Linked DNA regions of Xenopus tropicalis. The protein of the gene in region 1 purifies or fractionates together with the protein of each later gene. This does not show direct contact. Links are inferred from orthologs where the notes say so. Each region holds a gene or a part of one and is shown on either strand. Other genes may lie near its edges. The genes, in order: dnajb11 and sdf2.

What was found.
Region 2: the proteins of dnajb11 (region 1) and sdf2 purify together in Homo sapiens (affinity purification with mass spectrometry; 3 studies listed by BioGRID and IntAct, counting the BioPlex papers as one, with this or other methods). This does not show direct contact. The link is inferred for Xenopus tropicalis from reciprocal best matches to the Homo sapiens genes DNAJB11 and SDF2.

What each region holds. Positions count from the first base shown.
Region 1 is NC_030685.2:43,613,311-43,630,124, forward strand, and holds part of dnajb11 (dnaJ homolog subfamily B member 11), read right to left. Parts: intron 6,660-16,814; coding exon 6,500-6,659; intron 1-6,499. UniProt on the Homo sapiens protein: As a co-chaperone for HSPA5 it is required for proper folding, trafficking or degradation of proteins.
Region 2 is NC_030678.2:34,442,461-34,459,790, reverse strand, and holds sdf2 (stromal cell-derived factor 2 precursor), read right to left. Parts: upstream 11,566-17,330; 5' UTR 11,531-11,565; coding exon 11,359-11,530; intron 8,409-11,358; coding exon 8,212-8,408; intron 8,035-8,211; coding exon 7,747-8,034; 3' UTR 7,460-7,746; downstream 1-7,459. Other genes in the region: protein KIAA0100 homolog, read right to left, coding at 1,452-1,519.

The DNA.
Region 1 (16,814 bases):
ACATATTCTTGTAACCAATTACTTGACACACAAAGATACAATTACTTGGCGCAAAACACAAAGATAACAAACAAATATTTAATTTCAGTAAAGCACATTTTAACTCCTTAAGGGCTGTCCTTCAGAGCCCAGATTGGGGAATTATGTTTTCTGCTACAAACAGAACAGAAATTGCTGTCATTCAAAATGATATTAAAGGGGACCTGTCACCTAAAGAAATAATATATATAATAAATAAACTTTACGTACGTTTAGGAGAAAAGAAATAATTTAAAAACTAGAAGTCAGAGGGGACAGAAGTAGCATTTAATGAATATAAACGCTATGACAAATGTTGTAAACAGAGATCCAGAAGGGAGAGATAGAGAAAGAGGAGCGCATTGGGGCAGAGGCTAAGACTAACCCCAAAGAAATGTTTAAAGTATATTAATAGTAAAAAGATGCAGGTTATGGGAGTATGGCCTGACAACCACAATACTATTAGTTTGTGCCACAATACTATTAGTTTGTGCCAGCATGGTTTTATGCACAATACTATTAGTTTGTGCCAGCATGGTTTTATGCGTAACAGATCTTGCCAGACTAATTTAGTTGCCTTTTATGAGGAGGTGAGTAGGAACCTTGATGCTGGAATGGCAGTTGATGTCATCTACTTGGACTTTGCTAAAGCGTTTGATACAGTACCTCACAGAAGGTTAATGATCAAATTAAGGAATATTGGCCTAGAACATAATATTTGTAATTGGATAGAGAACTGGCTGAAGGATAGAGTACAAAGAGTGGTGGTAAATGGAACATTTTCTAATTGGACCAGTGTGGTTAGTGGAGTACCGCAGGGGTCAGTCCTTGGGCCTTTGCTGTTTAACTTGTTTATTAATGACCTGGAGGTGGGCATAGACAGTATTGTTTCTATTTTTGCTGATGACACTAAATTGTGCAAAACTGTAAGTTCCATGCAGGATGCTGCCGCTTTGCAGAGCGATTTGACAAAATTAGAAAACTGGGCAGCAAACTGGAAAATGAGGTTCAATGTTGATAAGTGCAAAGTTATGCACTTTGGTAGAAATAATATAAACGCAAACTATCTACTGAATGGTAGTGTGTTGGGGGTATCCTTAATGGAGAAGGATCTAGGGGTTTTTGTTGATAACAAGTTGTCTAATTCCAGGCAGTGTCATTCTGTGGCTACTAAAGCAAATAAAGTGCTGTCTTGTATAAAAAAGGGCATTGACTCAAGGGATGAGAACATAATTTTGCCCCTTTATAGGTCCCTGGTAAGGCCTCACCTTGAGTATGCAGTGCAGTTTTGGGCTCCAGTCCTTAAGAAGGATATTAATGAGCTGGAGAGAGTGCAGAGACGTGCAACTAAACTGGTTAAGGGGATGGAAGATTTAAACTATGAGGTGAGACTGTCGAGGTTGGGGTTGTTTTCTCTGGAAAAGAGGCGCTTGCGAGGGGACATGATTACTCTGTACAAGTACATTAGAGGGGATTATAGGCAGTTGGGGGATGTTCTTTTTTCCCATAAAAACAATCAACGCACCAGAGGTCACCCCTTTAGATTAGAGGAAAGGAGTTTCCATTTGAAGCAGCGTAGGTGGTTTTTCACGGTGAGGGCAGTGAGGTTATGGAATGCCCTTCCTAGTGATGTGGTAATGGCAGATTCTGTTAATGCCTTTAAGAGGGGCCTGGATGAGTTCTTGATCAATCAGAATATCCAAGGCTATTGTGATACTAATATCTACAGTTAGTACTAGTGGTTGTATTTATAGTTTATGTATGTGAGTGTATAGATTGGTAGGTGTGGGTTAGGTGTGCTGGGTTTACTTGGATGGGTTGAACTTGATGGACACAGGTCTTTTTTCAACCCTATGTAACTATGTAACTATGTAACCAATGTGAGCACATGCAACCATTAGAGCTCCGCCACAAAACCCTGTCAAAATCATGGTTAGGCAGACACTCTCATGAAGAGCATTGAAAAACCTTTGGACTAAAGGATCTAGAGCCCAACTGTTAGTGCTGTCACAGCTGATGCCTGGACCTTAAGTGTACTAAGACGAAGACCCTTCCCATTGACCTATCTTGCTTCAGTTCTTACCTTAAGTTCGATCCCCCGGAGCACCATGGAAAGAACATGGTACCACAACAAACCTGCCAAGAAAGGGCTGCCCACCAAAACTCACAGACCGGGCAAGGAGACCAAAGGTAACCCTTAAGGAGTTGCAGAGTTCCACAGCAGAGACTGGATTATCTGTCTATAGGACCACAATAAGCCATACACTCCATAGAGCTGGGGTTTATGGAAGAGTGGCCAGAAAAAAGCCATTACTTAATGTTAAAAATAAGAAGGCACGTTTTGAGTTTGCCAAAAGGCAGGTGGGCGACTCCCCAAATGTATGGAGGAAGGTGCTCTGGTCAGATGAGACTAAAATTTTACTTTTCGGCCACCAAGTACGATACTATGTCTGGCGCACACCATCACCACAGTAAAACATGTAGGTGGCAGCATCATGCTGTTGGGATGTTTTTCAGCAGCAGGGACTGGGAAACTGGTCCGAGTCGAGGGAAAGGTGGATGGTGCTAAATACAGGGATATTCTTGAGCAAAACCTGTCAGTCTGCCTGTGATTTGAGACTGGGACGGAGGTTCACCTTCCAAGCAGGACAATGACCCAAAGCATGCTGCTAAAGTAACACTCGAGTGGTTTAAGGGGAAACATTTAAATGTGTTGGAATGGCCTAGTCAAAGTCCAGACTAGAATGTTGCTGTTCTCAAGTGAAAACCATCCAACATGAAGGAGCTGGAGCAGTTTTGTCTTGAGGAATGGGCAAAAATCCTAGTGGCAAGATGTGGTAAGCTCATAGAGACTTATCCAAAGCAACTTGCAGCTGTAATTGCCACAAAAGGTGGATCTACAAAGTACTAACTTTAGGGGGGGGGTGAACAGTTATACACGCTGAAATTTTCTGTTATTTTGTCCTATTTGTTGTTTGCTTTACAATAAAAAAAAAAAATCAGGTTTTTTAAAAGTTCCTGGCACAGTGTTGTACTGTACTAGTCCAGCCGAAGCAGTTGTTGGTCTATGTATGGAAGTTGCAAGAAGCCCTTCTGTATGGTGGACTCAATCATCTTCTCTATGGAATCTTTGAATGCTACATCATCTTTTGGTAAGGTGTTCTTAGACAGGCAAGCAATCATAGCATCTACCCTTGGGGATATATTTATCATGCTGTGCAAAAAGTGTAATGAAGCATTACCGGTGATGTTGCCCAGGGCAACCAATCAGCAATTACATTTCAACAGTTAAAAATCAAAGCAAAGCATCTGATTGGTTGCTATGAGCAACATCACCGGTAATGTTTTACTCCACTTTTTACACCGTATGATAAATATAACCCTTGGTGTCTTGTCTGGGATTGGGTACATGTTACAGAACTTTTCTGTTAGGACTATTACCCAGTCAGGTTTGGCTATTTACTATCAAATAGTTGAGAAATGGATTTAAGGACAGGGATGGTTTCCCCAAGACTCCATGAACTTTAAATATCGCTGTTCATCCTTGATCTCTAATGTAGTTAGCATGTCTTTTAATAATTTCTTGGTCGTGTCTTGCCAAGTTATAGTAAACTGTTGTCTGTGGAAGAGTCCCCCTGATACAGAACCTACTGCAAAACTACTCTCAAAGAATTTGGAGTCAGTTTCAAACTGCTGCAGTAATTGATTCTTTTAAGTAGGCGCCCAGCATGTTTTATTGTGGTTTGAATGGCTGACCTAATCCAATCCAGAAAGTTTGTATATCAATATTGGTTTGAGAGGTTGTGAGACTTTTGGCAACTCCCTGCATTAAGAACCTGGTACCCTGCTTTAAAGGAGAAGGAAAGGTAAAAACTAAGTAAGCTTTACCAGAGAGGTCTATGTAAATACAAGCCATAAGCACTCACAGAAACGATGCACTGTGCCAGAGACACGCAGCTCTCTGCCCTCTCCTGCTCCCCCCCTCCCTCAAGAATGCTAAGAACTCACTCCCCCTTAGGAATGTGGATCTGAGCCAATCAGCAGGAAGCAGACTTATAGGGGCACATTTACTAATCCACGAATCTGAATCCCGAATGGGAAAAAAATCGGATTGGAAACGAAAATTTTGCGACTTTTTCGTTGCCACGGTTTTTTTCGTATTCTGCGCAATTTTTTCGTCGCCGTCACGACTTGATCGTATTTTGCGCAACTTTTTCGTCGCCATCGTGATTTTTTCGTATTCAGCAATTGTAAATGGCGGAAAAACCAATCCGATTTTTCCGCGACGGTGACAAAAAAGTTGCGACAATTCGCGAACAAGTCGTGATGGTGACAAAAAAATAGCGATCATTACGGAAAAACGCATTCGGACGCTTTTCAGATGTTCGTGGATTAGTAAATGTGCCCCATAGTCTTACAAACTGAGCATGTACACTTGGTCTCGGTGCAAGAGGCATTATGGGAACTTTCTTTACATAGCTCAGAGTTTTTTCTTCCTGTTTGGCTACTGATCATCTGAACAGGTAAAATATAGGGAGACTTAAGGGCACTATTGAGACAACTGAAGGTATGCCTGCAGCTTGAGATTAACTCTTTATTAGCCTTTCCTTCTCATTAAAATAAACAGGACACATCTGCAAACAGTACATTTCAGTGGCCTAGCTGTCCAGTCTTCTCAGTGATGGTTTTCCTGTAAGGGCCTTCTTAGGGTTTAGGAAGCTGTTTCAGGCACATCTTGCATGATGTCATGTGCGCTATGAAGAGTGCTGCGTTGAAAGTGCCACCAGCCATCGGCTTGAATTGACGTCACTAGAAGTTACAGGAAATGCTACCACTTACTGAATAGCATTGTGTGGTACCGTAGCCCTGGAAATTCCGGCATTACTTGTCATGTACAATGTACTGCTCAGTTATATCCCTGCAGGATAACAAGCTGTGCAAAAAGTTGCACTCTGCTTGTACAATGAAAGTTTCCAGTTTTATTGTCATATACAAATAACAATGAAGCATCATTACTATAATGAAATTATTTTGACCCGTGTTCCTCCCAACTTTACATAGACAAAAAAAAATAAAAAAATACAAATATTAAATATAATAAAAGTGTGCAATAAAGGTACAAGTATTTACAATAAAAAAATGCAATGAAATATTTGAAATTGTGCAGTGAGGATTTAAAGTGGCTTTGCTTAAAGTGACACTGCAAAGAGTCCAGTAGTTATGGGGAGTGTGTGTTAGGCAGAAAGGTATATCTGGATCTGCCCCAAAGAAGCATGGCCTTAACATTCGGATTGGTTGCCTAATAAAAAGCATAACAAAATCTGCCTCACATCCAATTTACTAGTTAGAGCTGCATTACTGCAATAAACGAAAAAAGGCTTCCAAGCACTCCAAACCTTCCAAATTAAAACAGCATCTTTATTAGTCCATTAAAATGTGAACGCCTAAGTGAGCTGCATTACTGAAACCAGTTGGGTGATTCATTGCAGTAGGGCTGCACCCTCTGATTCTCAGTAACCTAACTAATATTAAACATGTTACAGCCTCATGTGAGTTCTGCTTGCTAGATTGTTTCAAATAAGGAGGGAAATAAATTGTTCAGACAATCAGCATAACCTCCCAAGATCTAAAATTACATTTTCTATGAAAGGTAGTATCTGTCCTCTACCTTCTAGACAGGACAAAAGAGAAAACTGAACTCAGTAGGCAGAGTACAACCTTATACAGAAGGAGGACTCCTCTTTGATTCTTCCGTCTTGACTCCAAAGGTCAAGGAATACTAACATCTGAAGGGCCACTCAAAAAAAAAAAATTAAAAACAGGCAATTTAAAAAGATATATTAAAAATGTATTAGTTATTTATTAATATTGTCCCCAATATCCCCCAGTCTAACTTGGGCTATCAAGTAGACAAATTCGGTGAAATTAAAAACAAAAAAAAAAGACAAAATATAATGTGGTCATTTTTGAAAGAGTGACTGCAATTTGAAAGAGGTGGCCTCTAGACAAAGGCTTCAAAATGGTAAATGGCTCTATCCTCTGCATTGTTTTGTTTCTGTTCTGAAGCTAAATGATCAATAGTCAGTTACTAGCTGAATAGTCGAGCTCTGTAAACAGTAGCTTGAATATTAGTCAAGGGCAATCTGCCCAAATAAAATTCCTAATAGCCATTTAAAACTATGCAATTCCGTAATCTTTTGGAAGCTATGCAAGAACTCCTAGTAAAATTATTACTCCTACAAAAGCACACACATTTTTGGAAATTCTTATACATACTTATATCATTTTAGCATTATAGGCTAAAATATGTTTAGTATACTGTAAGAATAAATTAATATGAAATTCATTACTAGAGTCTAAATTTTCCAGTGTAAATAAAAAGAAAATACAAAACAGACTGTAATGTGCATTTATGATAAATCCCACATTTGTTTATTCAAAAATCACTAGCAAAGGCAGAAAATAAAGAAAAAAAAAATACCTTGTCGTTGCTCCATCGTTAGCTGTTCTTTTGGGAATTCAACATCAAATGTTATAATTAAAGAACCTTTTATGTTGTTATTGTCAAAGTTTGGCAAACCTTCCCCTTTTTTCCACAATTTTGCTCCTGGCTTAGTAATTTTATCCCGCAATATGTGAACCTGTAAATAAAATAAAAGGCTTAATTTTTTTTTAAAATATAGTTTTTTCCTATAACAAAGATAGGAATAACTTCTGTGTTGCACTAAACCTTCTTAGTGTGCTAGTGCAATAATTTTCTGGTTTATATTTCCATTATATTATTGCTGGCATAAGACTGATATTACACTAGGAAATAGATGGTCATTCTTGAGGTAAAAAAGTACAAAGTGTCAAAGTCTTTTTGTACTGAAAAAGTGTTACACTTGATTTCATAATTTATTTTTATTTAACCTTTTCATTGCCAGCTAATTTATGGACATTTGCAATTAATGGCAACTAATTTTGTGCCTTTAAACTTAGCTTAAACTTAGTAGCGTTTCCTGGGACTTTACTAAGGAAGATACCTGAAATTTTGTGAAATTCAACTTAGTATTTTGCACAATTCCACTTATATATTTAAAAATTAAAAATGACAATTTAAAATATACATAAAATAAATATAAATATATCAGAAACACTTTATTATATGAATGAAAATATAACAAGTGCTCTCTCAAGCAAGCCAATATCAAATATGTTATGAATATTCAAACCAACAAAATTTGATAAAGTTAGCTGTTTCGAATTCTATTTTTTAAAGTTTGACACCAGTTATATGTATTACAAGTTTATACAAAAAATTTAATTGTAGGTGTTATATATGTCCATTTATAATTAGCATAATTTATTTGCATAATTTATTACCATTTTTAAAAAAAATAGTGTTCAAATGTATAATGGCTAATGCCTCTGATGAAGCAAAGGGGCCTAACAGAGGAGAGAAGAGTGAGATATGCGTGTGTTCCCTTAACTTGTGTAAGTAAAACGGATTGCATTTGGGGTAGGTGGGAGCTATCGGTGCTTTGCTATAAGTGGTTTCTATTTAGGTGCAACAAAGCTAACTTATATCTAAGAAGATTGTGTAAGGAGATATGCATATGTTAACACAGAACGCTCTAAGAATAAATTAGCATGGGGTAGCCGCTTCCTCCTACTTCATGATTATGAGCATAATCTTTACTTGCATCAGAGAAGAGGAAAAAGCTGTGTATCAGAGTGCATCCACATTTAAAACTTGGTTGAATTAGAATTCCTCTAGTAATGAAATTCTATGATTCCCAAATAATTACATTTAATGTTATCATGTGATACCGTTTCATTTTTATAGCCACTTTCAATATATACGTTACTATGTACATGTTGCAGTCTCCCCAGTTCAACTATAATCACGCAATGACAAGAGTCATAAATATCAAACACCAAAGACAAAGAGCAGATTAGCAATTTTAGAAATATGAAGTATTATGCAAAGAGTAAAGAAAAATGTTATGGTAATCTAAACAGTAAATACATGGCAATCCTCATTTGGTAGGTGGATTTATTTGGTTGCCAGCGGGGAGCCAAACAAATGGCTACTACATCTGAAGGCATTCTAGCTAGGAAAGAAGATATATAGACATAAACTTGACCACAACAAATTAAAACAAGGAATAAATGCATACAGAATAATTAAAAAAATTAAATACAGAGGGCATGCAAGATAATACTCACTGTAAATCTTACCGTGATGTTCCTTTCCTGGCCAACTCCATATCAAAACTTACTGGGTATAGCCTGCCTAACTACTCCAATCAGAATGACCCTCTCCAAAGCTTTAAAAGCCCACCCCCACCCCCAATACAGTGTCTAGTATCAAGCTTCTCTATAAAAAGGGATAGGAATCTGGTGACATGGAGTTAATAAAGAAAATCATGGTAAAGTACAGAGCCGTCAAACCTTAGGCACCTGAGTTTCGGGAGACCTTGCATCCCGCCAAAAATTCTAGAAACTTTTAAAGAAACCTGGAGAGTTGACAGCTCCATAAGTATGATACAAGTGTAACGTAACTAAGTGCTGCTTGACTGTTGCATTTGAGCAAGTGTAGAAAGCATATACATAGAATGCTCACTACCTTCAATCCAGAATTGGATGCTGCCTTTAGGCTGAGGCTGCACTCATTGTCATTGTGGTCTCACATTCTCCCACACCCAACGGACCATGTGGTAGGGCAGTTGGAATTCTTCTCTCCTCCAATTGTCGGTTCACACCTATCCCTATTCCTCCAGCTTTTTCATTTAACTCTTTTGAGGTGAATGCCTTTCAAATCGTCCATCCTCTCTATACAGGAGGCTGTAATTTACAGACCTCCATCAGCCTCCTCCTCTGCTACCTTCCTCTCTGACTTTGAAACCTTGCTATCTTTTTTCCTCTTTACTGACAGCCCTGCAATCATCCAGAAGTGGACAAACACTCCAACTCATAAGGATGGCCACTTTCCAGATTTAATCTTTACCAAAAATCTGTACCTTTCTGATTTTAACAGTATCCCCTCTTCCCCCTCTCTGCCCATCATCTGGTTACATTTTCAGTCTCAAACTTTCAGGTCCAGTCTCTCCTCTCCAAATTCCTACTCTCCAGTACAAGGTCTGCGGAACATATGTGGAGGAAATCCTGTACACAAGCCGACTTTATCCATTATAAACTCCTATTGTCATGCCTCAACTCTGCCTTCTCAAAGGCTAAACGGGAGTACTACAATACCCTTATAAAAAATAATAAATCCAACCAGTGACGCCTGTTTTTCTATATTCAATACTCTTCTGCTTCCCAACTTTATGCACTCTTCCCAGGACTTTGCCGTTTTCGTTAAAAACTAAGTAGAGTCCATCCTCAATCAGATTTCCACCTCTACTAACACAAACCAGCACCTCCTTCATCAATCCCCTTCTGTATGTTCGTCCTGTCTTGTTTCTACTGCCTGCCTCCAAAATCATTCACACTGGCTGAACAGAGCAATGTCAGACAACAACAATTTACAAAGGGTCTATGAAGATTTTCATTCATCCAGGTCATGGTATATCTAGTATAAATAAATTTGAAGCAACTGGACTTGTTTAGTAATCATTGAAGACGTTTCACTACTCATCCGAGCAGCTTCTTCAGTTCAACTGACTGGTATGGGAAGTCCTCAGCATATATACTCTTCCACTAATCCAATCACAATGGCACTATGTAACTCTTCAGAAAGGTGACATCTGAAACTCACAGAGGTGTGAATGCTGTGGAGTTACTTTGAAAGGATTACCAAAGTATCATGCAACTCTTCAAACAGGTGTTACTTGTTAGAGTTGCATGAATGGATGTGTGAAGAGTTCTGAAACTTGTATATGGAGGAAGTGGAAAGGAAGGCCCTACATTCAATGGAACTACACCAAGTCACTGGTTCAGGTATGTAGATGACACGTGGGTTAAAATCAGATCCAACGAAGTGGCGGCCTTTTCAGAACACATTAACTCAGTGGACAACAATATCAAGTTCACAAGGGAGGATGTCCATGAGAACAAACTTGCTTTTTTGGACTGTTTGATATCCATTCAAGAGGGGGGTATCTTGAAAACAGAAGTATACAGGAAACCCACTCACACGGATCAATATCTGTTGTTCGATTCCCACCATCCGCTGGAACACAAACTGGGTGTCATTAGAACTCTACACCACAGGGCGGAAAGTGTAACAACTGATACAGAGTCCAAGGACAAGGAATGTAAACATCTCAGAGGAGCACTGAAAGCTTGTGGCTACCCAGACTGGGCCTTTGTCAAAACAAGAGCAACTAAGCCCAACAGGAACACCAAAAGGAATAACCGTCCTGAGGCAGAGAGAAGGCGCAATATAGTCATCTCATATGTAGCAGGAGTGTCGGAGAAACTCAGGAGAATTTTCAACAAACACCACATCCCTGTGTTTTTCAAACCTAGCAACACACTGAGACAAAAACTTGTACACCCAAAGGATCCAACACCAAAGGAAAAACAAAGCAATGTTGTATACGCAGTCCAGTGTAGCGAGGAGTGCACAGACCTTTACATTGGTGAGACAAAGCAACTGCTCTCTAAGCGAATGGCTCAGCATAGGAGGGCGAACACTACAGGCCAGGACTCTGCTGTCTTTCTACACCTAAAAGACAAGGGACACTCCTTTGAAAATAGCAATGTCCAAATTTTGGACAAAGAAGACCGCTGGTTTGAAAGAGGTGTAAAAGAGGCCATTCATGTCAAAGTGGAGAAACCATCCCTTAACAGAGGCGGGGGACTTCGACACCATCTGTCTGCTACATACAATGCTGTTCTAACATCTGTACCCCGGCAGTTTCAGAACTCTTCACACATCCATTCATGCAACTCTAACAAGTAACACCTGTTTGAAGAGTTGCATGATACTTTGGTAATCCTTTCAAAGTAACTCCACAGCATTCACACCTCTGTGAGTTTCAGATGTCACCTTTCTGAAGAGTTACATAGTGCCATTGTGATTGGATTAGTGGAAGAGTATATATGCTGAGGACTTCCCATACCAGTCAGTTGAACTGAAGAAGCTGCTCGGATGAGTAGTGAAACGTCTTCAATGATTACTAAACAAGTCCAGTTGCTTCAAATTTATTTATACTAGATAATTTACAAAGGGCACTCCCATTATGCAAATTTAGCAAAGGGCGCAAAAGACTAAGAGTAAAACTAACTAGCCCTCTGGCCAGAGGGACCACAAGGGGCCAATCGATCTACAGGTCCTGGCTGCAATGCAGGATCAGGCAATCTTTCCACACTCCACATTATTCACAGAGCAGTGGTGTTCTGAACAAATAAATCTCTGAGAAAACAGGGAAATCATGGGTAGATTGCTTCCCAATTGCCCTGTTCTCTGTACGCACTACTCCCATAGGCCTTCACAAACGATCACCTTATGAAATATTGTTCGGGTCAAATCTAAAAACAGGATTGTAATTTTCCCTAACAGCTAGAAGCTCTACATTCATATATGACTGGTTATGTAGCTGCTGTACAAACACAACTGAATAAAAAACACAAATATGTTTTTGATTCTATTTCAGATCCGAACAACATTACTGGATCTCATGATCTCAAACCAGGTGACTGGGTAGTGGTTAAAAGACAAGTCAGAAAAAGCTTGGACCCCAAATTTGAAGGTCCACTACAAGTACAAATGGTAACACCTACTTCAGTAAAACTGAACAGCAAAGACACTTGGATAATCACTGTAAAAAGGCAAACATACCTGATAATCATGGTTAACCTTCTACTGGTACTAATCCTAGGTTTGGTAGATTTCACTATGAGTAAAATACACTTTTATAACAAACCAAAACTTTACATTACAAAAGAGAATAATTAAACTAATTATTGTTTTAAATCAGACCAAAAGACTCTTGACAACTACCAATGGTGGCTTTTCCTATATCTATTTTCCTAAATACTGACAATATAACATATCACAATGGAAAAAAGAGAAAGCTTGGAGACTTCTGGAAGCAAAAGTAATCACAAACCAATTTTGATTACTGTTAACAGAACCAACAGTTGGGATCAACTGTATTTAGGGAGAATTCAGAAATATTTGGATAAAAAATAGAAACTAATGAAGCCTTAGAAAGGAAACGTAATACATGGAAACTAACGATCAGCCTTAGTATAGTCTTACAAGCACAACAACAAGTAAGTCAATACATATATTATCCTACAGGGGAAGGTATTAATAATTTATCTAAACTTGAATGTTGGAATTTATTCAAAAAAGAGATGGCAATGATTGGTGCAGAAATTTAAAACGGTGTCCAAATTGATATTTAATGATGGTTTAATAACTTTAAAATCTCCACACTACTTTGTGTGTGGTAAATGGGCCTATGCTTGGTTACCTGAAAATAGCTATGGTTCTTGCACTATTGCATCTCTAGTTTCAGCCATAGCAATTATGGATGAAGGTGATGTAACTAAGAAATTACTATTGCCACATCATAATTTGTCATAATTGAGGAACCTACCCATCTGCTACTGCCATTTTCGGAAGCTACAAGACTACAACCCACCTGCTAATGGTACTCCCTAAGGTAGTCTCTTCCTTTAACCCCCGTTGTCTGTCCATATTCCATTCACATATCCTCCTCTATGTACATACTCCAGCTCTTTCACGTTTTATAACTAATTGCAATATCTTTGTCCCCCGGTTACTGTCCATACGTGGAGACCCACACATATGTGGAATTCTCCTCTCCTCCTGTGTCAGTTCACGGCTATTCCTAATTCTCCAGCTTTATCTTTTAACGCTTTTGAGGTGCATGCCCTTCAAATCTTCCATCTCCTCTTTGCACGGTTGGCTGTCATTTACAGGGCCCCATCAGCCTCCTCCTCTGCTACCTTCCTTTCTGACTTTGAAACCTGGCTCTCTTGTTCCTCTGTACTGATGGCCCTGTAATCATCCTTGAGGATTTAAACTCCCACATTGATCCCTCGCAACCCTGGCCCTCACGTTTTCTCCACCTAACCTCCTCCTCTGCACTCCAGCAGTGGACAAACACTCCAACTCATAAGTATGATAGTCACATTCTGGATTTAGTCTTTACCAAAGATCTGTCCCTTTCTGATTTTAACAGTGTTCCCTTCCCCTTCTCTGACCATCACCTGGTTACATTTTCTATCTCTCACCCTCCTTCCCAACTTGCTCTCTAACTCGAATTCGAAATACCTCCCAGCCTTAGCTCATTCTTTCAGGTCAAGTCTTTCCTCCTTTAATGAGATGTCTGACCCGGATACCCTGGTTAGCGAGTACAACTGCATACTAGCCTACATCACTGATTAATTGATCTTCAGGTTGCCAAAGACGAAGCTGACTTTTCTATACTATCCTCCTCGATCTATCGGCTGCATTTGATACGGTCGACTACTCCCTCCTGATGCAAATTCTGCATTCGATTGGTATCCATAATCAGGTTGCATCCTGGATCTCTTCTTACCTCTCTAACCGATCCTTCGCTGTCTCATATACAAACAAACTCTCATCTCCAGTTTCAATTAATGTGGGGTTACCGCAAGGCTCTGTACTTGGGCCGTTGTTGTTCTCCCTCTACACACTGTCTTTGGGAGATCTTATCGGTTCATTTGGCTTTAAATATCATCTGTATGCTGAGGATATCCAAATTTATTTTTCGACCCCTTCATTAACAGATGAAACGGAGACTCAAATCTCTAACTGCGTGCCTCCTAGCTATCTCCAATTGGATGAACCAACACCACCTCAAACTGAACCTAACAAAAACTGAACTAATGATCTTTCCGCCTATGCCTGGTCCTATTTCCCCTTTACTATCTCTATCGATGGCACACTCATCAACCCTGTTGATTCGGCACATTGTTTGGGGGTGATCTTTGACTCCTGTCTCTCCTTCTCGGACCATATTAACACCACTGTCAAAACCTGTCACTTTTTCTTAAGCAATATTGCCCAAATCTGTCCCTTTCTTTCTACTGCAATAGCTAGGCTGCTCATGCATGCTCTAATCTTATCCCGACTTGACTAGTGTAACTTGCTACTAACCAGCCTCCCTAACTCCCATCTCTCCCCCTGCTGCCAGAATTCTCCTACTGTCTTCCAGGAGAGTTCAGGCCCTTCCCCTGCTAAAGTCCTTCTTGTGGCTTTCCATAAAACAAAGAATATCTTATAAACTCCTTCTCTAAACCTTTAAAGCTCTCCATTGCTCTGCTCCTCACTACATTTCTTCTCTTGTGTCTCCATATGTTCCTGGCTGACTTCTCGGTTCCTCACAGAGCAACCGCTACTACTACTGCTGTTTCCCACATTAAATCATTCTGTCTTGCTGCGCCTTACATTTGCAATGCCCTCCCCGATTTCCTCTGGAGAGAATCCTCCCTTAGTCTTTTTAAAACTAAACTTAAAGACTACCTCTTGGAGCACTCGCACAGCACCTGATCTGGGAACAAGCACTTATATTGCACTTATATTGCAGGGTCACCCACTGTATTTATCTGTTACCTTAACACCATGTTTGTATTAATCTATTCTACTGTACATCGCTGCTTACATAAATAGCGCATGCACGGGCCAAACAAGATGGTTGCACCTTGAGTTGGCTCTGCACTGCCCTAGCACTTAATAGCTTCCGGTCGCTAAATATCCCCTCAGCTTGGTCGATCCCACTCACCCACGGCTCCGTTATCTTTCGGTGACAGCATATGGCCTCCCAGAGATCCCGTCGGAACATAAACGGACTAAGGTAGCCTCAACTCCACTCACAGGCAACCATCTGGTAACTGCGTACCTTAATAGGCCTGAAGCCTCTGTGTCTCCTCCAGGCTCCCCACAGATGGCCTTGCAAGGTAGCTTATTTGATGACCCATTGGGAAGTTCACCTTTATAGGGAGAACAGTCTGGATCTTCGGATGAGGTACTATTAAGCAAATTTAAAATTATGCTGCAACAAGAGCTAGACGCAATAGCAACTAAGATTTCCGCAGATCTCGCCAAACAAGTCGCAGACCTTGGCACACGTATTGCAGATACCGAAGGCAAAATAGATGATGTTATAACAGTCATAGAATCTCATGAACAAGACATTGTTACACTTCAGGCCCAACTTAAAGAGGTCCTTGACAAAATTGAGGACGCAGACAACAGGTCCAGGTGCAATAGTGGGAGAATTCGAGGTCTACCCGAAACCATCATAGATTTACCAGCCACTATACAAAACCTTTTACACGCTCTGGTCCCTGAAATGGACAGGGTATATCGCGCCCTGCGGCCTAGACGGCCCGACGACCTACCCAGGGAGATTATTTTACGGTTGCACTTTCACCAAACCCAGGTCGCAATCCTGATGGCGGCTAGGAAAGCTACCAACCTAGTTTTTCAAGACCATCCTTACCAGATATACGCAGATCTATCTCCCACTACATTACAAAAAAGAAATATCATAGGTCTGATCTGCACGATACTTCAACAGAAAAATATCCAATATCGTTGGCTTTTTCCATTTTGCTTAGCCTTTAACTACAACAGACAGCATACGGTAGCTAACTTGGAGGAAGGCCAAGGCTCTCTGTCCTCGAGACCCCCCATCTCTGACTGCTTCGCAACCCCAGCTGTCTCCATTATGGAACAAAGTCAGATCCAGGGCCTCTAGACTACGATCTTCTCAACTATCCTCTCTACCACCTTGATGGATGCCTTCTCCAGATCACATCGGTCTCGCTTCCATTTGCTCAAGGTTTTTGAGAGATCTCCACATAAACCTGAACGTCGCCGAGACATTCCATGGGAGTGCATCGCCATTATTTACCTATATACCCGGTTTACCTCCCTCCCCCCCTTTTTTTTCCTCTCTTTTTATTTTTCTCCCCCATATGTATATGCACAAGATTTAGCTCGTGAGCCATGTTAGAGCTGGTTAATCAGGATTCTTTATTTGGGTCACTATTAGAGCTACGTTTGCCCTTTTAACTTTGGGACACTGTTCCTACATTATCGGTACCATCAGGAGATTTATTATATGTTCGCCAATGGTTTTTAAAAATTATTTTTCTTTTTTTTTTTGTTTTGTCCAGCTCTAAGCTTACACTGTGGATATTGTGGATAACTCCATAAGTGCTAGCCGGATCATGTGTCTCTCCCTATCCGGTACCCCGAAGTTACCCCTGAGAGGGGCCGCAGAGGAATTTACCGGGACCTTAAAATTGTATTTGTTGTACCTATGGTACAGTGCTTTATCTATGTTTATATAGTTTTGTTTAGACGAGTCATGCAAAGTTTACAAATTTGTATATATGTAAATAGGATCGGCTGTGGCCAGCTCCTGGAAGCATTGACACCATCTTATTTCTATGGCCTTTAAAATTCTTAGCCTAAACGTTCAAGGCTTTAACTCCCCAATCAAAAGAACCAAAGCATTTACTTTTTTTAACTCTTTACAAGCTGATGTCATATGCCTCCAGGAAACTCATTTTTCTTATACTTCTTTTCCCAGGTACTTCCATAGGAAATTTTCATCTATATTGTCAATGAGCTCCACTAAAACTAAAGGGGTTGGTATATTTTTCCACACTAGTTTAGCTGTGACAATTGACAAAATGATTATTGAACCTGAAGGCCGCTTTGTAATTGCAAACGTTCACATAGGGGATTCCCCTCTAACCATAGCAACTTATTATACCCCCAATATCGACCAGTTAGAATTTCTCACTAAATTATTTGACCTATGTTGCAGTAACCAATTAGGCCCATTAATAAT
Region 2 (17,330 bases), on another chromosome or scaffold:
CGAAAAAATCGCAAAACATACGAAAAAATCGCAAAATACCGATCATTACGAAAAAAACGCAATCGGACTCCATTCGACCCGTTCGTGGGTAAGTAAATCAGCCCCTAAGTGTCATGTTTCCTTAAGCATAATATCACACATGGAGACATGTAGTTCTACTTTACCTGGTTGTAAATAGGTTTCATTGTTTCCTTACAGAGAAGCAATAATTGCCATTAAGGCTTCCCAAGGTGGAAAAAATGAAATGTTATTGCAGCTAGCTACAACTAATCGCTACCAAACTGGCTAGCTACAACTAATTGCTACCAAACTGGCCCTGGAATTTTTAGTACACAGAGGCCCAAACAGCCCCCATAAGCCCAATACATAGTGACTGTCTATGGCATCTTACAGCTGCCCCTCTGGCATTTGCTAGAACCCAGTCTGGCCCTGCCCATGTTCACTGCCCTTAGTTCCTGATTCTCCAAGGATAGCAGCTATTCAATGAAAAATGCTGGAAGCTTCAGCACTCCTGGATGTCAAAGGCTGCTTAGAGATATTTGGCTTGCTTACTGCCATTGCTAAATATCAAAAGGAAATCTGGACCCCATTGTCAACAAAACTTTATCTCAGGCAGTTTCCTCTCAAGGCAACTTCTGCTACTTCGGCAAATCACGGCGATTTACATTCTAACCGGTGGGATGGCATGTCGGGGAGATTAGTCGCCCGCAACTAATCTCCCCGTGTGTCACAGCCCTTATACATCCAGCAATACAATTCCCCCCTCATGGGATGTGCAGTTTACAGCTTATATTCAACCACAATTTCCCTGTCATCAGTACCCAACAACACCTCACATACAGCTGCACCTAACCAATAGCAAGAAATCCGTTTAATAAGGGCTGGTGCTGACCTGAATTACTGTCAGCTAGATCTCACTGCACAGATTTAGTGGCACTATAACCCAGTAACAGAAGTTGAAGTCTGAAGTCCTGAGTGTGGATTTATAGTCAGTCACATGAGAGTGGCAGTATGAATGTAAAGGAACAGATTTGTGAAGCCATATCCCAATAGGTCCAAATACAAGACTGTACAACTTGTGGTGGTGGTGGGGGGCCAGTAGGTATAGGGGGGCCTAGTGGGACACTGACCAATAAGAAGTTTTAATGAATATTTATAAAAAGCATATTCCCAAATCTTAGTGGGGACTAACTGTATTTTGCTAAGGGGACCCAGTAACTAAGTTCCATCACTCTCTACCATTCAGCATCACAAATACAGCTCCCAACACTTATGTGCCACCACAAACGCTGCTGAACTGCAACTCTCTCCCTTGCTTGACAGTCAGCTGAGGTGCAGCAAACACCTAAAGAGCCACAGGGTGCAACAGCAGTTCAAAGCACTTGTGGGAATAAGGTGCCACGTCTGACAGTTCCACCTGCCATCCAGGCCAGAAAATGCGGCTCTCTCACCTTCCCAGGAGCAGGGCTCCCACAGCCAGCAGCACCAACACCGCAAGCACTGCAACAATCACCGGCATGGCGTCCACCCAGGAACCAGGGGTACCGACACCCGGCACACCGGCTCCTGTCAGTTTCACGGAGCTTCAGGAAACCATAGAGAGACCACCCCCTCCGAGTTGGAAGGAGGAGTTGAAACCCAGAGTGAGTACAGGAAGCGAGTGACTGGGGAGAAAACACAGGGAGGACCAGCAGCGTCACGTGACCCGCAGAACTTGGAGAGTTGGGGGCGGGCACTGTGTTATCCCGGAACAGCCGCACCGCTAATAGCCTTACAACTGGAAAAGGAAGCGCGCCACCTGCTGGTAGAACAATAAGAACTACAAGGTTCATCGTATCGTTCTGATGCAGATATCGTGTATTACTGTTGCGTCGGTGTATGTCTACTTGGTTTCATCCTCACCGTCATTATTTTATTGTAGAACTACGTGTCGTGACAGCCTTTAGATGAAGTGACCTTGTCGGAGTCTCTTAATAAAGCCAAATATGCAACCTATTAGTCTTGCCGGAATGAAATGCGCATTTCTGGAAAGCTACAGTATTTGCAATAGCTGTTTTTTTTATATACTAACAATTTTTATTGATTTTTATTGGCATACATATGGCAGATGGCTTGGCGCAGATTTTTGCATTAATGGTGCTGTTGATCAGTAGTACTGAAGAAGAGAAAAAAAGTAACCATTGTAAACATATAACATAAATATAACTCTTGGTATTGTTGAAAGAGAAATGACTGATCTATAAGTTCTGTAGTTCTTAATATATGTGAGGGGGTTAGGTGATTTAGGCATGAAGGGCCAGAAAAACTGGGGATCATTTTCATGGGCTGGCAAAAGGAAACACATTTTATTTTAAGCTTTCATGTCATTTTAACATATAGGAAAGTTTTTCGTTGAAGACTATGCTTATTATTTTAGTTTAGCGGGAGCCTGTTTTTTTTCCAGTTGCTAGCTATGATTAGTCTCACTGCCATTAATATATGTTGGCTCAGTCTGTGAGCACAGTTAGTATACTCTCAAGGTAGTTGTAGTACTCGGGGGTCTTTGGGAAACTAGGTATGGAAAATCTTTGAGAGAAGGCAAAATTCTAAAACAACCTTGCAATCCCACCATATATGTAACATAGTTCCAGTTTCTACACAGCCTCTGAAACATTGTGGACTGCAAGTAAAGTTATTTAGTCTGGCTGGAACTAAATATGTTCTATGGAGGATTTTAATAGATGTTTCCCTGATTGTTACACAGCTGCTTCCTTTATTTTCTGCACTAGCATAGGCGGAGGGTGACTTTTTTGTTTGGGGAGGCTAAATATGGGCCGTACACAGTCCGACCTACAGCTAATGTGAGACTTAGTGGATTCGCTGCTGGTGTAAAAAATTAACTTCCCAACTACCTCTTGCGGTTCCCACTGACTCCCAGGGATACTGCGCAAAAGTGCGGGTGGGGGTGCTTTTAACCCTAAAATGCTTAGGATGTAAAAGTATTCATATGTGCTCTTCTGTTGGGGGTTCTCTATACATTTGTGTTTGTGATCAGTTAGCTTCAAGGGGTAGTTCACCTTTAAATTAACTTTAACATGATCTAGACATTGATATTCTGAGACAATTTGTAGTTGGTCAGCTTTTATTTTTAATAGTTTTTCGGTTATTTAGCTTATTGTTCAGCAGCTCTCCATTTGGTATTTCAGCAGCTATCTGGTTGCTAGGGTCTTATTTACCAGGTAGTGGTTTAAACAAGAGATGGGAATATGAATAGTTAAGGGGCCTGCATGGAAAAATAAAACTGTAGCTTCACAGAGCAATACTTTTTGGTCAGTGACCCTCATTTGAAAGCTGGAAAGAGGCAGAAGCGAAAGGCAAATTATTCAAAAACTATAAAAAATTAACTAGGAAGACCAATTGCAAAGTTGCTAGGAATAGGCCATTCTATAACATACTACAAATAAACTTAAAAGTGAACCTCCCCTTTAGATGTGTTTAAGTTAGCTTTACAGAGAGAGAGGCAGCAGGTACTGACATCCCAGGCACGTTATATACAGCGAGATGCAGTCTTTATATACAAAACCAACACATATATAATGAGAAGCAGTGGGTACTGAGGGCAGATATTCAGGCCCTGGCACTATAACACTGGCACTGATACACAGCATTGGCCCCACTGTAACTAACTAGGAATGAAAAAAACAATGACAAAAGTAAAAGAAAAATAGAAAGTGCAAAAAACCATAACAAACATATAAAAGCACAATGAGCTTTGTCAGGGGGAAAGTTAACTTACCCTCCATCTGTTAGGGTAGGGGATAGGGATATTATAGATGTCAGGTGACTAAAAACAATTTAATTTCAGCTAGTGGGTCAGTCTTTAGAACATATACAGTATAGTTACTTGTGTATAGTACCTGTGGGATGAAAACTGCAGCAAAGTTCACAGGCTCCAGTTAGCAAAATCTCCCGATCCCTGTCTGCATCTGTGCCTTGATTGGTCAATTTTACTGCCTGTCAAGAAAGCTATGCTCTGATTGGATCTTTCTTCTTGTGGATTCTCTAATCAGAGCACAGCTTTCTTGACAGGCAGTAAAATTGACCAATCAAGGCGCAGGTGCAGACAGGGATCGGGAGATTTTGCACAGCTGATTTCTGCAGAACCCCAAGAAGATTTGCAGGGCAATGCAGAAACGGAGCCAGGTTTTAAGGTGCCAAATCAGGTTTGGGGAGGCTTAGCCTCCCCAAGCCTTATTGAAAATCCGCCTATGTGCACTAGCTATTTTTAAACATGTTTTTATTTATTTCAACATATTTGTTAACCACACTTACCATTCTACCATCCTTTCTTTTTTCTGGCTCCTGTTTCCCGAAGGCACTATTTCCACACTAGGCTGTTCTCTTTGCCCTGTCTTCAGCACAGGCATTATCTTCCCCTTTGCCCTGCCTTTTGTCTCCTTCCCCTCTCCACATGGCCCAATTTAACCACCCTTTCCTCAAGTCCCAGTTTCTCCATATCTCTGCTTAACTTTGTTCTTTCTTGTTCCATATTCAACTTCTTTTCTCTAACACACATAAGACATTTCTTCTTTCCCCCCCATTTTTCCTGTAACATTTCTCTCTTCCTTTCTCCTACACCTAGGTTTCAAATGGAAGGTATGCAGGCTCTGTTTGTGTCCCCCTTTTCCTTCATCCCTCCTATGTTGTTTAAATTTCTCATTTGATAATTTCTCTATTCCCACCTCTGCTTTTTCACCCAAGCTTTCCTCCATATACACACAGCCAGTCCATCCTGTTACTCAATGTTATATGTACCTTAGAACAGACTACATTAAAAGTGTTATGCCCTGTACCTCCAAGCAACAGCACTGGTATGTTCTCTTCCCATAGCTGCTTTTGTTGTCCGCTGCACACTGAGGAAAATGCTTTGGCACTAAATTGACCAAGTGGGTAAAAAAGTCTAAACAAAACATTCTAGATGAGCTATTGGACACAGGGGCAAGTGACAGCTTTAAGATAGATGGACCATGGTGAAAAGTATTTCATGTCAACTAGGCAGAGGGTGGAACTAGCTGATCAGAGCTGTCCAATCTTCTGATGATGCAAAGTCAGTGCACAAGATTTGGTGGATGAGGCCACTGACTGTGGCTTCTGTATCAGCCCAAAGTAACCACAGCCCTTTAGCAGGGAAAATGTGTGCCCCTGATGATGCCCCCAGTAGCTCCCGATCTTTGCTGCTGATGCTCTGTGTTGCTCTCACTTACCTAAACTTAGGGCTCTGGTACACGGGGAGATTAGTCGCCCGCGGCAAAACTCCCTGCTCGCGGGCGACTAATCTCCCCGAGTTGCCTTCCCCCTGCCATCCCACCGGCGAACATGTAAGTCGCCGGCGGGATGGCAGACGCGGCGGGGCGATTTCGGGGAAATCGCCGAAAAAGCCTCGCAAGTCTTTTTCAGCGATTTGCGCGAAATCGCCCCGCCGCGTCTCCCATTCCCGCCGGCGACTTACATGTTCGCCGGTGGGATGGCAGGGGGAAGGCAACTCGGGGAGATTAGTCACCCGCGAGCAGGGAGTTTTGCCGCAGGCGACTAATCTCCCCGTGTACCAGAGCCCTTAGGGACTGACTCACAATATAGTGTATATCTACAATATAAAAGACCAGATACAAGACTGATTACAAATTAGTTCAGATTCTCATCACATGGCAGTGCATAAATCTGTGCAAATAGCACCAGAATTTAATAAACGGCCTGTAGCATCAGCTTACATGACAGGCAGACATCACTTTCTGTTTGATAATTTATGATAACCCCTAAGCTTAGCTTCTCAGCAGCCGCCTACTGACACTTCTAACAGTATTCAAGATGGTGAGTTTCTTAAGGGTAAGAACCCACAAGGCGGTTGAGTCCCCCGTGATAGATCTCTGCTATCTTATGTGATGAACCACTCCGAAATGGCTTTCCACCAGCAACAATAGGAGTTGCCAGTGAAAAGCCCTTTGCATTGCTTCGTTTTCTGAATTCACGCAAAGTTGCCTGTAGGAGGAAACTTTGTGCAACTTTGGATTACCAAAGTGTTAAGGCCCCCATACACGGGCCGATAATAGCTGCCGATATAGGTCCATTGAACCGACTCGGCAGCTTATCTGCCCGTGTAGGGGCAGAAACGAGCGGGCTGGCCGACCGATATCTGGCCTGAAATTGGCCAGATATAGATCAGCTGGGTTAAAAGATTCAGTCGGATCGGGGGCCGCATCGGCTCGTTGATGTGGTCCCCGAACTGACTGCCCCATTGCCGCCTACATAATCCGGTCGTTTGGCCCCAGGGCCAAACGATTGGATTATTTTTTTTTTTTAACTTCAAGCTCCCCGATATCGCCCAACCGTATGCTGGGATATCGGGGGAAGATCCGCTCGCTTGCCGATAGCAGAGATCTATCTCGGGAACAACTCAACCGCTCTGTGGGTTCTTAGCCTTAAAGCTTTCAAAACACAGGGATTAAATACTTATGCACATTTTTCCATGAGTTGTTTTTCCAACATAAAACATTGTCAATGTAAAAAAAAAAAAAAAAAAGCGTTGACATAAAAATACTAGAGTATTTGGTTATGAATGCAGATTTTGTTATTTAGAAAAATGACAGAACCTGGGTAATCATGTCATTGTCATACCTGCAGCTGGCTGAAACCCCTAACTAATGGTTACTATGCCCAGGTGTAACTTTGCTTTTTGATAAATGAGCCTTTGTACTATGAACAAAGAGTACTGCTTCCCATTCATTAAATATATGACAAGTGGGAAAATGCACATTTGGATATTAATATTTTCATTAGACAAATACAAAGGTAAAATAAACACTTAAAGTTAAAGGTGACCTTTAAAGGAGAATGCAAGTCAAAATGTAAAAAGCATAGTGCCCAATAGTCCTCCTATTGTTTAGTAAAAACGCCACATTTTTGGCTCACCTAATCAAATACTTACTCAGTCACACTTACTTCACATTTTCTAGAACAGGCAGCCATCTCTAAAAAGGTATTCTCCCTTCATTTCCTTCCTTGCTTCATACTGCACAAGTGTTTCATGCCCACCCCCCTCCCCTCTGCTAGATCTGCTTCTGATTGGCTGGTGGGTATGTGTAGCGCAGAACAGAAGACAGCCTACAGGAAGGGAAGAGAGATTTCAGTGATGTCACTGTAGTCTTCACACTGCTGTAGGCTGCCAGCACCATATCTCAGAGAAGCAAGCAGGGATCTGGGCATTTAGATATGCAGTAGGTACTTAAAAAGAATGCATTTAGATTTACATTTAATTTATATTAACCTTTCATTGTCCTTTAAGCCCACTAGCCTGTGAGGCAGATAAAAATCAGGCAGATAAAAATCAGGCAGCACCAATTGACAAAGTGGTCCTTCCCCCCCCATGTTTCAGCATAAGAAAACCTTGTAACCAGTTACATGCTTCTTTTAAGTAAAACACAGATTTTTGTTTTAAAAATGTTGTATTCAAATCCAACAGCAGCTGAGATGAAATATTTAAAAATTACTTTGTTCCAGGGACGTGCCCGGTGTTACACCTCAGTTCCTTACTGGACATAAAAACAATAATACCAGCAGAATGGGCAACAATACAAACCATGCCCTTGAATCCACATTTAAAATATTTCTGAGCTGAACTTTTTAAGTGACCATTCAGGATCTGAGGAAAATCCTGATTGATCCCAACACTGTATGGTTAAGGAAAGGGAGTCAGAGTCTCTATAGGTGACATCATAATTCAGTATGAATGTTCTGTGTCCGGGACTGCTCACTGGGCTTCATGAAGATACCCTCCATGACTTTCCAATAGCTGTTTTGGTTAGCGTATGACATGCCGTGAACTTCCCTCTGGCCGTTAATGGGCCTCCCATACTGTTCCCCTGTGACAGAGAGGAAAACACTGGTAGATGTGTGTCTAAATCGAACTTCATCATCTCTTTGCCAGAATTCACCACCACATAGAACAGTCCAGTCATCCAGTATGTCACCTTCCCCATCATCCCCAAATGCACTGACTTCCTGCAAAAAAAATAAAAAAACAAAATAAAAACAAACTCTTAAAATATACAGCCCAAAAAGCAAGATCACATGCTTAAATGAGATGTAATGCTTGCACATATAATCTACTAACAAAACTATACTTAAAACAACATGAAATGGTGATGTGCTATTTATCTGTTAGTCACAGTGACTTGCCTGGTTTCCAGACAGAGGAGAAGTAAAGTGATGACTGTGCAGATTGCGCCCTGTGTTGACATGTGTTAGACGCACAGACTGTCCACATTTAATTAGTTTTCCTCTCTCACACACGGTGGAGGTTTGTCCACGGATACGCCAGTAACTGTTGCCATCGTCTACAGATGTGACTCCTGTCACAGATTGCTGTCCGCTGCCTAGATGTACAACTTATTAGTTAGGGGTCTCACAACAAATACATGCACAGTAGCATTTGTGTCTCCAAGGTGTAGGTATCAATCCTAAAATAAATATCACAGTGAAAATATATACCCATACTCTGATTTACACATCCAGAATGCTCCTGGGGTTTTCTGGATAAGGGATCATTACATAATTTGGATATCCATACCTTAAGTCTAATAAAAAATAATTTAAACATTAAATAAACCCAGGGATAGGAGTATTTTGCCTTCAATAAAGATTATTTCTTAGTTAGGACAAGATACTGTACTATTTTATTTTTACAGAGAAAAAGGGAAATTTTAATTATTTGATTAAAATTGAGTCTAAGGGAGTGGAGCTTTCTGCATTATGGGTTTGCGGATAAATCATTCAATACCTGTAATATAGTTCTAATGTCTTGGTGTAGAGGAAGAAGAATAGCTTAGCATATTGAATGCCTTTCATTTACCCCAGCCCTAGAGAAGAAATCAAAATAGGCCCTGGCATTTTAAGTACACAGAGGCTAAAGGTGGCCATACACGTAACAATTACGGTCTTTCCTGCGACCATTGGTTGCAGGAAAGATCGTTCATACCCTCCACTGACATTCAGGGCTAAATCGTCAGATATGGAGGTAAAACCAATAGGAATTCTACCCCTATCTGGCAATTCATCAATAAACGCAGCTTTTGCTTGGGCACCTTTAACAGCACCTGATCAAAATCTTTTGTCCAGCCCAATTGACAAGACGACTAATATCTAAGGCATTATTGGTCAAAATCGGTCGCCTTGTCAATCCACCATGCACGAACTTAATATCGGTGAGTGTATGGCCAACTTTATTTAGATGTATTTAGATATATGTTTTATGTTATTATTTTATTAACATGGGCAAGGCTTCATAAAGCCTTCATCATGAAAAAGTAACTGAGCAACTACAAATGTGATAGCCAAGTTTTATTTATAACCAGTGGCTTAAAGTACACACTGGAGGAGCTACGCACAGAGCAAGACTGCTGATTGTTACTGTACATCTGCACAGCTGAAAATGAAACTGTTATGCAAAAATATCTACAAAATGCTTATGGAAACTTTCATTTTCCTGAGAAAAATGAAAGTAATTAGGAAGGAAATTACATTTATTTGGGGAACTAAGTGTCACAAAAGGCTAAAAATATGAATCTGAACGTACATCCTACTAACTAAATCTAAAAAGCAAGAATATTAATCTTATTATAGTTTCTCTTCTGCTTTTTATACCTAAAACACCAAATAAAAGATGAACTAATGGGGCTGCTGTAAAGGCAATTTTGATTCAAATAAAGCTAATACAAAATTTGTTATAACGTATTGCGCTCCTGAAATTATTTCATAATAGGTGAATACATGAATTTCAAACCCCCGCAAAGACTATGGCTCAGGGCCACAACCACTCATAACCATTTATCATAAATTCCACCCTGAGGCTTCATCATCGTCATTCAGTGACTTATGGACAACCGGAAACGCAACCTTTCTGTTCCGGAAGTACTAACTCGAGAATCTAAATGAATGAAATAATATAGAAACAGGTGGGAGCGGTGACTGCCATATTTCATAATGGAAATACCAGTGCTTCCCAGTGTGGTCGACCCCTCCCCCGGGAGGCTTGGAGCACTGTCAGGAAAGCTCAGTCTGAAGCCTATTTGGGGTGAGGTTGTAGGACAATTTATATTTCCTCTTTTAGATACACCTTAAAAGAGAACTAAAGAATTAGGCCAGAGATGCTGTACATTATGTTTTGAGTTTCGGGCCTGATGCTGCCCCCTGCTCCTTACTAATGCATTATAAGGCATATGTACTGTCTATGTAAATTATAAGGCTATAAATACTCACAAAGGAGCAGTGGTGTGAATGTCAGCACCCGCCCGCCCCGCTTACCCACAGGGTAGATGGCCGAAACAGGAAGTGATTGGGGGCAGAACAGGGCCACTAGGGGCAGACTTCACAGGTCCTCAGCAGCCCTTCTGTCTCACTGCCCCCCCTCCCAAGACTGCAGGGTCAGTTATGTAAGTACTGAACTGTATTTCTCTTGTATTAAAAGGCATATATACCACATATATCAAGTATAAGAATATTAATAGTTACCAAGGAGTTCTGTGCCCATGTAAAGGCACAAGGCTGCAGCCTGTTTATTAAAGGTCAGGGAAACTTGAGTAATAGTTATGCAGGTTAAAGGACTTCAGTCCTGCACTTACCCATACCAAACCTGCTGATGATTTATACACCTGCACCCAAAACTGGTAATCCCTGATGTAGGAGTAGTAAGAGGCAGGATGGACATACACATTTTGGCAGTCACAAAAGTGGGTTTGGGAGAGAGCAGGCAAGGATGAAGGGGCTGGGCTATTCATGTATTTCAAAGTTTTTTCTTTTTAAAAAGGGTCTGCAACACATTAACAATAATGCGCCAAGTAGTCAAAGAAACAAAATGGGGGAAAGGTATTTTTTACCATATACAAAATAGTTACTAACAATAAAAGCTTGAAAGACCACCCCCAAACCCTTTCTCTTTACATTCGCTGCTTGCAATGTGACCAGCTCAGCTGTGACAGTGCAAATGCCATATATCAGATATGAAGCAAGGGTAGGAGAAGGGGTCCTATTCTCCCTACGGACAATGCCTAACTGAATATATGTGTGCATTTAAATACACATTTGCTATACTGTACATATAACTGACAGCGACTGCGCGATTACAGTCTCTCCCTCCCCCAGGCACACACTATATTTCAATTCCATTGATTAAACAGAGAGGGCTATGTCGCTTTAAGCCAAGCATTAACACCCTGCTCACGGGAACCTGCCAGCGCCTAATGCCATGGAGGGCACTTTACCTCTCCAGAGGGAACTGGGTGCGCTGATGACGTGCCACTTGCGCTGGGGGATGTGCCCTCATCTTACCTGAACCATATCTAACGTCGTGCGAATGGAGACGGACGCTGTGCTTGATATTGAGCAGCTTGACCACTGAGCCGCAGGTCACCACGGACAGCTCAGAGGCAATGCTCACCGGCAGCAGCAAGGGAGTGATAAACAGCAGGAGAGAGCCGGCTCCATCCTGAGGCTTCGTCATCTTCATTCACCGGCTGGTGGACAACCGGAAACGCAACCTTCCTGTTCCGGAAGTACTAACTCGCAATGAATGAAATAATCTGGAAATAGGTGGGAGCGGGGACTTCCCAAACAGTGGGGTTGCTGTGTTCCCCTGGAGGCTAGGAGCCCTGTCAGGAAAGCTCAGTCTGAGGCCTATTTAGGGTGAGATTGTAGGACAATTTACATTTTCATCTTAAAGGAGAACTAAAGCTTAGAGAAGAATTAGGCCAGAAATGTTGTACATTATGTTTTGAGCTTCTCTACCAGCAGCAACATTTCTAGGGCTGCCACCTTCTCCCAATTTGCAAAATTGGGCAGGACTCACTGAGATTCAAGCAGTGGTCAGCTAATCGCTGAGTCATTTCACTGCCCTGCCTCTTCCCCACCACCATGATGTCACAGCCCTGCCTCTTCCCCACCACCATGATGTCACAGCCCTGCCTCTTCCCCACCACCATGATGTCACAGCCCTGCCTCTTCCCCACCACCATGATGTCACAGCCCTGCCTCTTCACCACCACCATGATGTCACAGCCCTGCCTCTTCCCCACCACCATGATGTCACAGCCCTGCCTCTTCCCCACCACCATGGTGTCACAGCCCTGCCTCTTCCCCACCACCATGGTGTCACAGCCCTGCCTCTTCCCCACCACCATGATGTCACAGCCCTGCCTCTTCCCCACCACCATGATGTCACAGCCCTGCCTCTTTCCCACACCGTGATGTCACAGCCCTGCCTCTTTCCCACACCGTGATGTCACTGCCCTGCCTCTTCCCCACCACCATGATGCCACAGCCCTGCCTCTTCCCCACCACCATGATGTCACAGCCCTGCCTCTTCACCACCACCATGATGTTACAGCCCTGCCTCTTCACCACCACCATGATGTCACAGCCCTGCCTCTTCCCCACCACCATGATGTCACAGCCCTGCCTCTTCCCCACCACCATGATGTCACAGCCCTGCCTCTTCCCCACCACCATGATGTCACAGCCCTGCCTCTTTCCCACACCGTGATGTCACTGCTCGCCCCCTGCCCAGCAAAAATGTTGGCAGAGGTTGCAACCCTAAATGAGCCTAATGCTGCCCCCCCCCCCACACCTGCTCTGCACGTACCTCTCTAGTGTCAGAGCAGGTCCAGGGGCTGCATCACTAGTGCAGAGAATGCTGTTGCACTAGCAATGCCAAATTTCTGTTTTAAAAACCAGAGGCGGCTTTTTGTCGTCCTTAGTAACTGGCTTCTCACTGCTGCCTAAGGCAAGGTTCTTACGATGCCTCATGGCAGTAGTGGACCTGTTTACCAGCCCTAGACAACCCCAGCCCTTTAGTAGGGAAGTGCTGTGCCCCTAAAGATGCCCCCAGTAGCTCCCCATCTTCGTTTCTGCTGATTCATTGCATATGCTCTGTGCTGCTTTCGGTTACTGAGCTTAGGGACTGACTAAAAATATACTGTAAATATAGAATACAAATGTCACAATAGAAGGCTGTTTATACAGATTACAGATGGCAGCTCTAAAACCAAAGCATATGCACCCAAACTTAATAATCAGGCCTTGCCACACCCTTTATAACAGACAAACCTCATTTTCTGCTTAAAATTTTGCGGTGACCCCTAAGCTTAACTTTTCAAAAGCTGCTCAGAACATGCTGAGCATGTGAGTGTTGCAGACGCTTCTAACAGATTCCAGTATGGTGACCACAAGTGACAACTTTGATGTACTGGATCATTACTACTTCTATAGAGATGCTAAACTTTGGGCTGGTTCAATTTATAAAATTTGGCATTTCTAGACATATTAATTTTTAGGGTTTAGTTCTCCTTTAAGGCCTAGCTGGGATGTCAGGTTGAACAGTTATTTGCTAGCCTAAGTATTCTTAAAATTATATCTGCCTGATCCATACACAAATGTTTCCCTATGTGTGTAACTGTTACGAGGGCCTTAAAACAAAAAAAGTCACAAGGACTGTGACTTAAGGTGGCCATACACACTAAGACCTTGCCAAGTGATCGGATCTTCTCCCGATATCCCCACCTATGGGTGGGCGATATTGGGCTAATTTAGTCGTTTGGCCCTGGGGCCAAACAATCTTATTAAAACAGCAGGAATAGGCGCCCATCGGTTCGGGGACTGCATCAACGAAACAGTCCCTGATCCGACGAAGAATCAAACATGTTCGATAGAAATCTGCCTGATTTCAGGCCATATGTCGGTTGGGCAGGCCTGTCGGTAGTGCCCATACACGGGCCGATAAGCTGGTGAATCGGTCTAAGGGACGATATCAACAGCTAGAATCGGTCTGTGTATGGCCACCTTTAGAAATGATAAATACATTTAAAATCAAACTAATTTATATGTGAAATTATAATATCATTGTATCAATATCAGGGATAACAATCTTGTCCAGTTTTGCTCTACTAATTTGTTTTTTAAATATTTGGGAAAGGGTTTCAAATTCAATACAGAAAAATTGGAAAGGGAAACAATATGCTGATCAAATATGTACAGCTCAATTACTTTATATCTAGGTGTATATTCTGAGGGAGAGATTCTGGAGGTCTTAGATTATCCATCCTCTTGTCTCAGCATACTTTTAGTAAGTCCTTTCAAAAGGTCACCATACTTGAGTGTAGAGTTATTTGTTTGTCTACCAGTATGCATGTGCTATTGTATTTTTACGAGATCAGACCCACTAGTTAAGCTGTTGCTTGACCTGAAACCCCCAGAAGCAATGTCAAATATAGGGCTGATTTTTACAGGTATAATTGCTAAATTGGTCCAATGCAGTTACACATGTCTTTGAACAATCTCCTATAAATTGGAAAATGAAAACAAAAATGAATGGCTGCTACTGGCAACGGCACTTTTGCAGGTTATCACCTGTGCCCATCAATCATTCAAAGCAGTACATTTTTGAGTCCTAAAGAAAATATACTGCTCAACACTTATCATCAGCTGATTGAGAAGAGAATTTTTTTTACTACTGGCAACATACTTTTCACTGGATGAACCACAATTAACTGTAGTTACCAAATTATGTTTTCTTCCCTGGGTGTAATTTAATTGAATTTTCGCATGTGTTAATAAGATTCTAGATGAAGTTAAACCAATCCATTTATGGGTGGTATATCACAAAATCTACAGTGTATGCTCTGAACTATATCAGATGTTACCTAAATTCCTAATTCTTCCTCAATCCAGTCTTCTGTATTCTATGGATTATTGATATTATTTATTAGCTTCTGATTTAAGGCTTTACATTTTCCTAATAAATTATCACTTTAATAATTGCTTAAAAATGCACTCAACTTGCTGTTACTTGTAAAAAAAAAGGCTTTGTTAAACATCTAGATTTGCTGACAGTAAAAGAACTACTGGAATTGTCTCCAGCAAATGTAGTAAGTATTGGCAACAGTTTCCCCCCAAAAAAGGAATTATGCATCATAAGGAAATAGAGAGCAGCACAATATGTATGTGTTTTGTCTTCCCTCTCACTTCATTTCAGTTTTTTTTCTAGCCACTGAGCACAATGTTCCATCCAGACTTGAACTAAGGACAGAATAAAGTTGCATTAAATACATGCAAAAACACATACTGTAAATGAGACACCAGGTTTTCCGAATATGAACCATAACCTAATATCACTGCCAAAAATGTTCTCCTACACCTGTAGCAAATTTACACAAGACTGTGATCTTTTATGAACAGACTATGCAATAATATATGTACTATAATATACTGTATATACATCATGCAAAAGCAAGGGACTTAAGGTTCCATCGTATGTTACATGATATATAATATGATATCTTACAGATGTTTATCTGATTATGGGAGGCCATCCAACAAATGCTCCCACATAATTCAACCCCTACTGCTGGGAAAAGTTTCTGACAAATGGTTTAGTGAATGAAGTAATGCGATTGGCCATGGAAAGAAGGGCACTGACTGGCTCAAACCTGAACGCCAAAACAAACGAGAGAAAGTACAGGCTGTTCTGTACGCTAGGTGTTGCGTAATAATGATTATCATGGTCCTACCGAGGAATGCTGGGAGATGTAGTCTTGTATCAGCAGGTGCGCCGTCGTTGTTCTCAGAACTATACTGAAGGCCTGAAACGCATTGGGGGATAACCAAAAGAAGCCAAACACGAATAGATATCTAGTATGGATAAAAGAACCGTGGAACAAAGCAGTAAGGAATTCGATTTCTGTTAGCCAACAACTTTACTGCGCTTATAGTCGGCGCATGCGCAATTGAAGAGCGGAGTGTTGGTGTGCCTAGTGCGGTGGTAGCGGCTGCCGGAAGTGACCTCACGCCTGCCTGCTCTGCGTTCTATCCGCCAGGTTCTGCGCTAGAGTTGTTCCTCCATTTTTGGACAAGTTCTTCAGAAAGGAGTGCAGTTTTAGAAGGAGACAGCTCGGCAGCGCTTTAGCCTTACATCGGGAGAGGGATAGTTATCAGCAAAGCAGGTAAGGCTTTCCCGGCATCTTGTGCTAGAGCGCTGCCTCAGCCACCTTGTCCGTGGGGGCCCGCACCGTAGCCCCACTGGAGAGGCATCTGGGGTGTTTGCGTGGGCAGAAGTGGCGTGGATGTACTGGAGTCCGATTATATGGGCTCGTTTTCGTTGTGCAATAAAGCCCGTAAACACTTTGCTAAGTATGGCCCTCTTGGGGGAAATACGGCAAAAAGCGAAAATCAGGCCCAGGTTTAAAGGGCCACGAAAGGGAAGTCTGAAGATAAACCTGAGAAAGGATACAGTTATTATGTAGCTTATTTTCACTATATAGTAGCCATCCTGCACCTCCCAAGCTGCTTCAGTAATTATAAGGCAGGGGCATATTTATCAGCACTTTATAGAGATGGTACATCATTTATTCAGTTCCCATCAGTCACAGTGGAACTTAAGATCTATTTCTTATCATATTCACTATGATCAGTTTTATCATGAGCCAGTCAACCTACCTGTATGTTTCCGAGAGAAAACCCACACAAACCTAAGAGGTTACAAATTATTTGCAGATAATGTAGTGCCCTGACTGGGATAGAACCTAGGGCCCCAATTTTGCAAGACAGCAATGTTAACCACTGCAACATATTTTAAACTGCAACTTCCAGCACACCCCAGATTTGTCTTTGGCCCCACAACAGTTGGGGAGTTGCAGAATGGGCATCCCTGATATATGTGAATCCTCTTAGGCTATAGCTTTAGCTCCGGTTTGGATTAATAGGGCTATAAGGTTACCAGTTTCAGTGGCAAGGTTTTAAAGGGCTGAGGCTGGCCTGAACCATTGTTATATCTACTTAGAAATGTCCATCTTGTACAATAAAGACATTTTGATTTGAAAAGATTTTTTGGTGTTCATTCAGATTTTTTTTTCATTGAAACAAGCTATCATTCACATTCTTAATATTATGAAATAATTATCCAACACCAAGGAAATGGCAGAAACATAAGAGATACAAATATCTATCTACAAAGACCTCTTTTACCCTACATCTATAGCTGGGTGTTGTGCAAAATGAGATGCTTCATCGGATTATGATTACACAGGGGCCTTATTGGGAGGCCTAAGTTAAGTTATATTGGCATCTGATGTAAATTCCTTGTAGTGTTGTAAAACTCACTTGTCTGTCATTTGTTCTATATTGCCTTAAATCAGGGGTCCTCAAACTTTATAAACAGGGGGCCAGGGTCAAAGTACTGCCCGCTCCTGCGTCCTCCCTCTCCTAGCTCCCCTGCTCTGTCCTCTCTCTCCCAGCACCCCTGCTGCGTACTC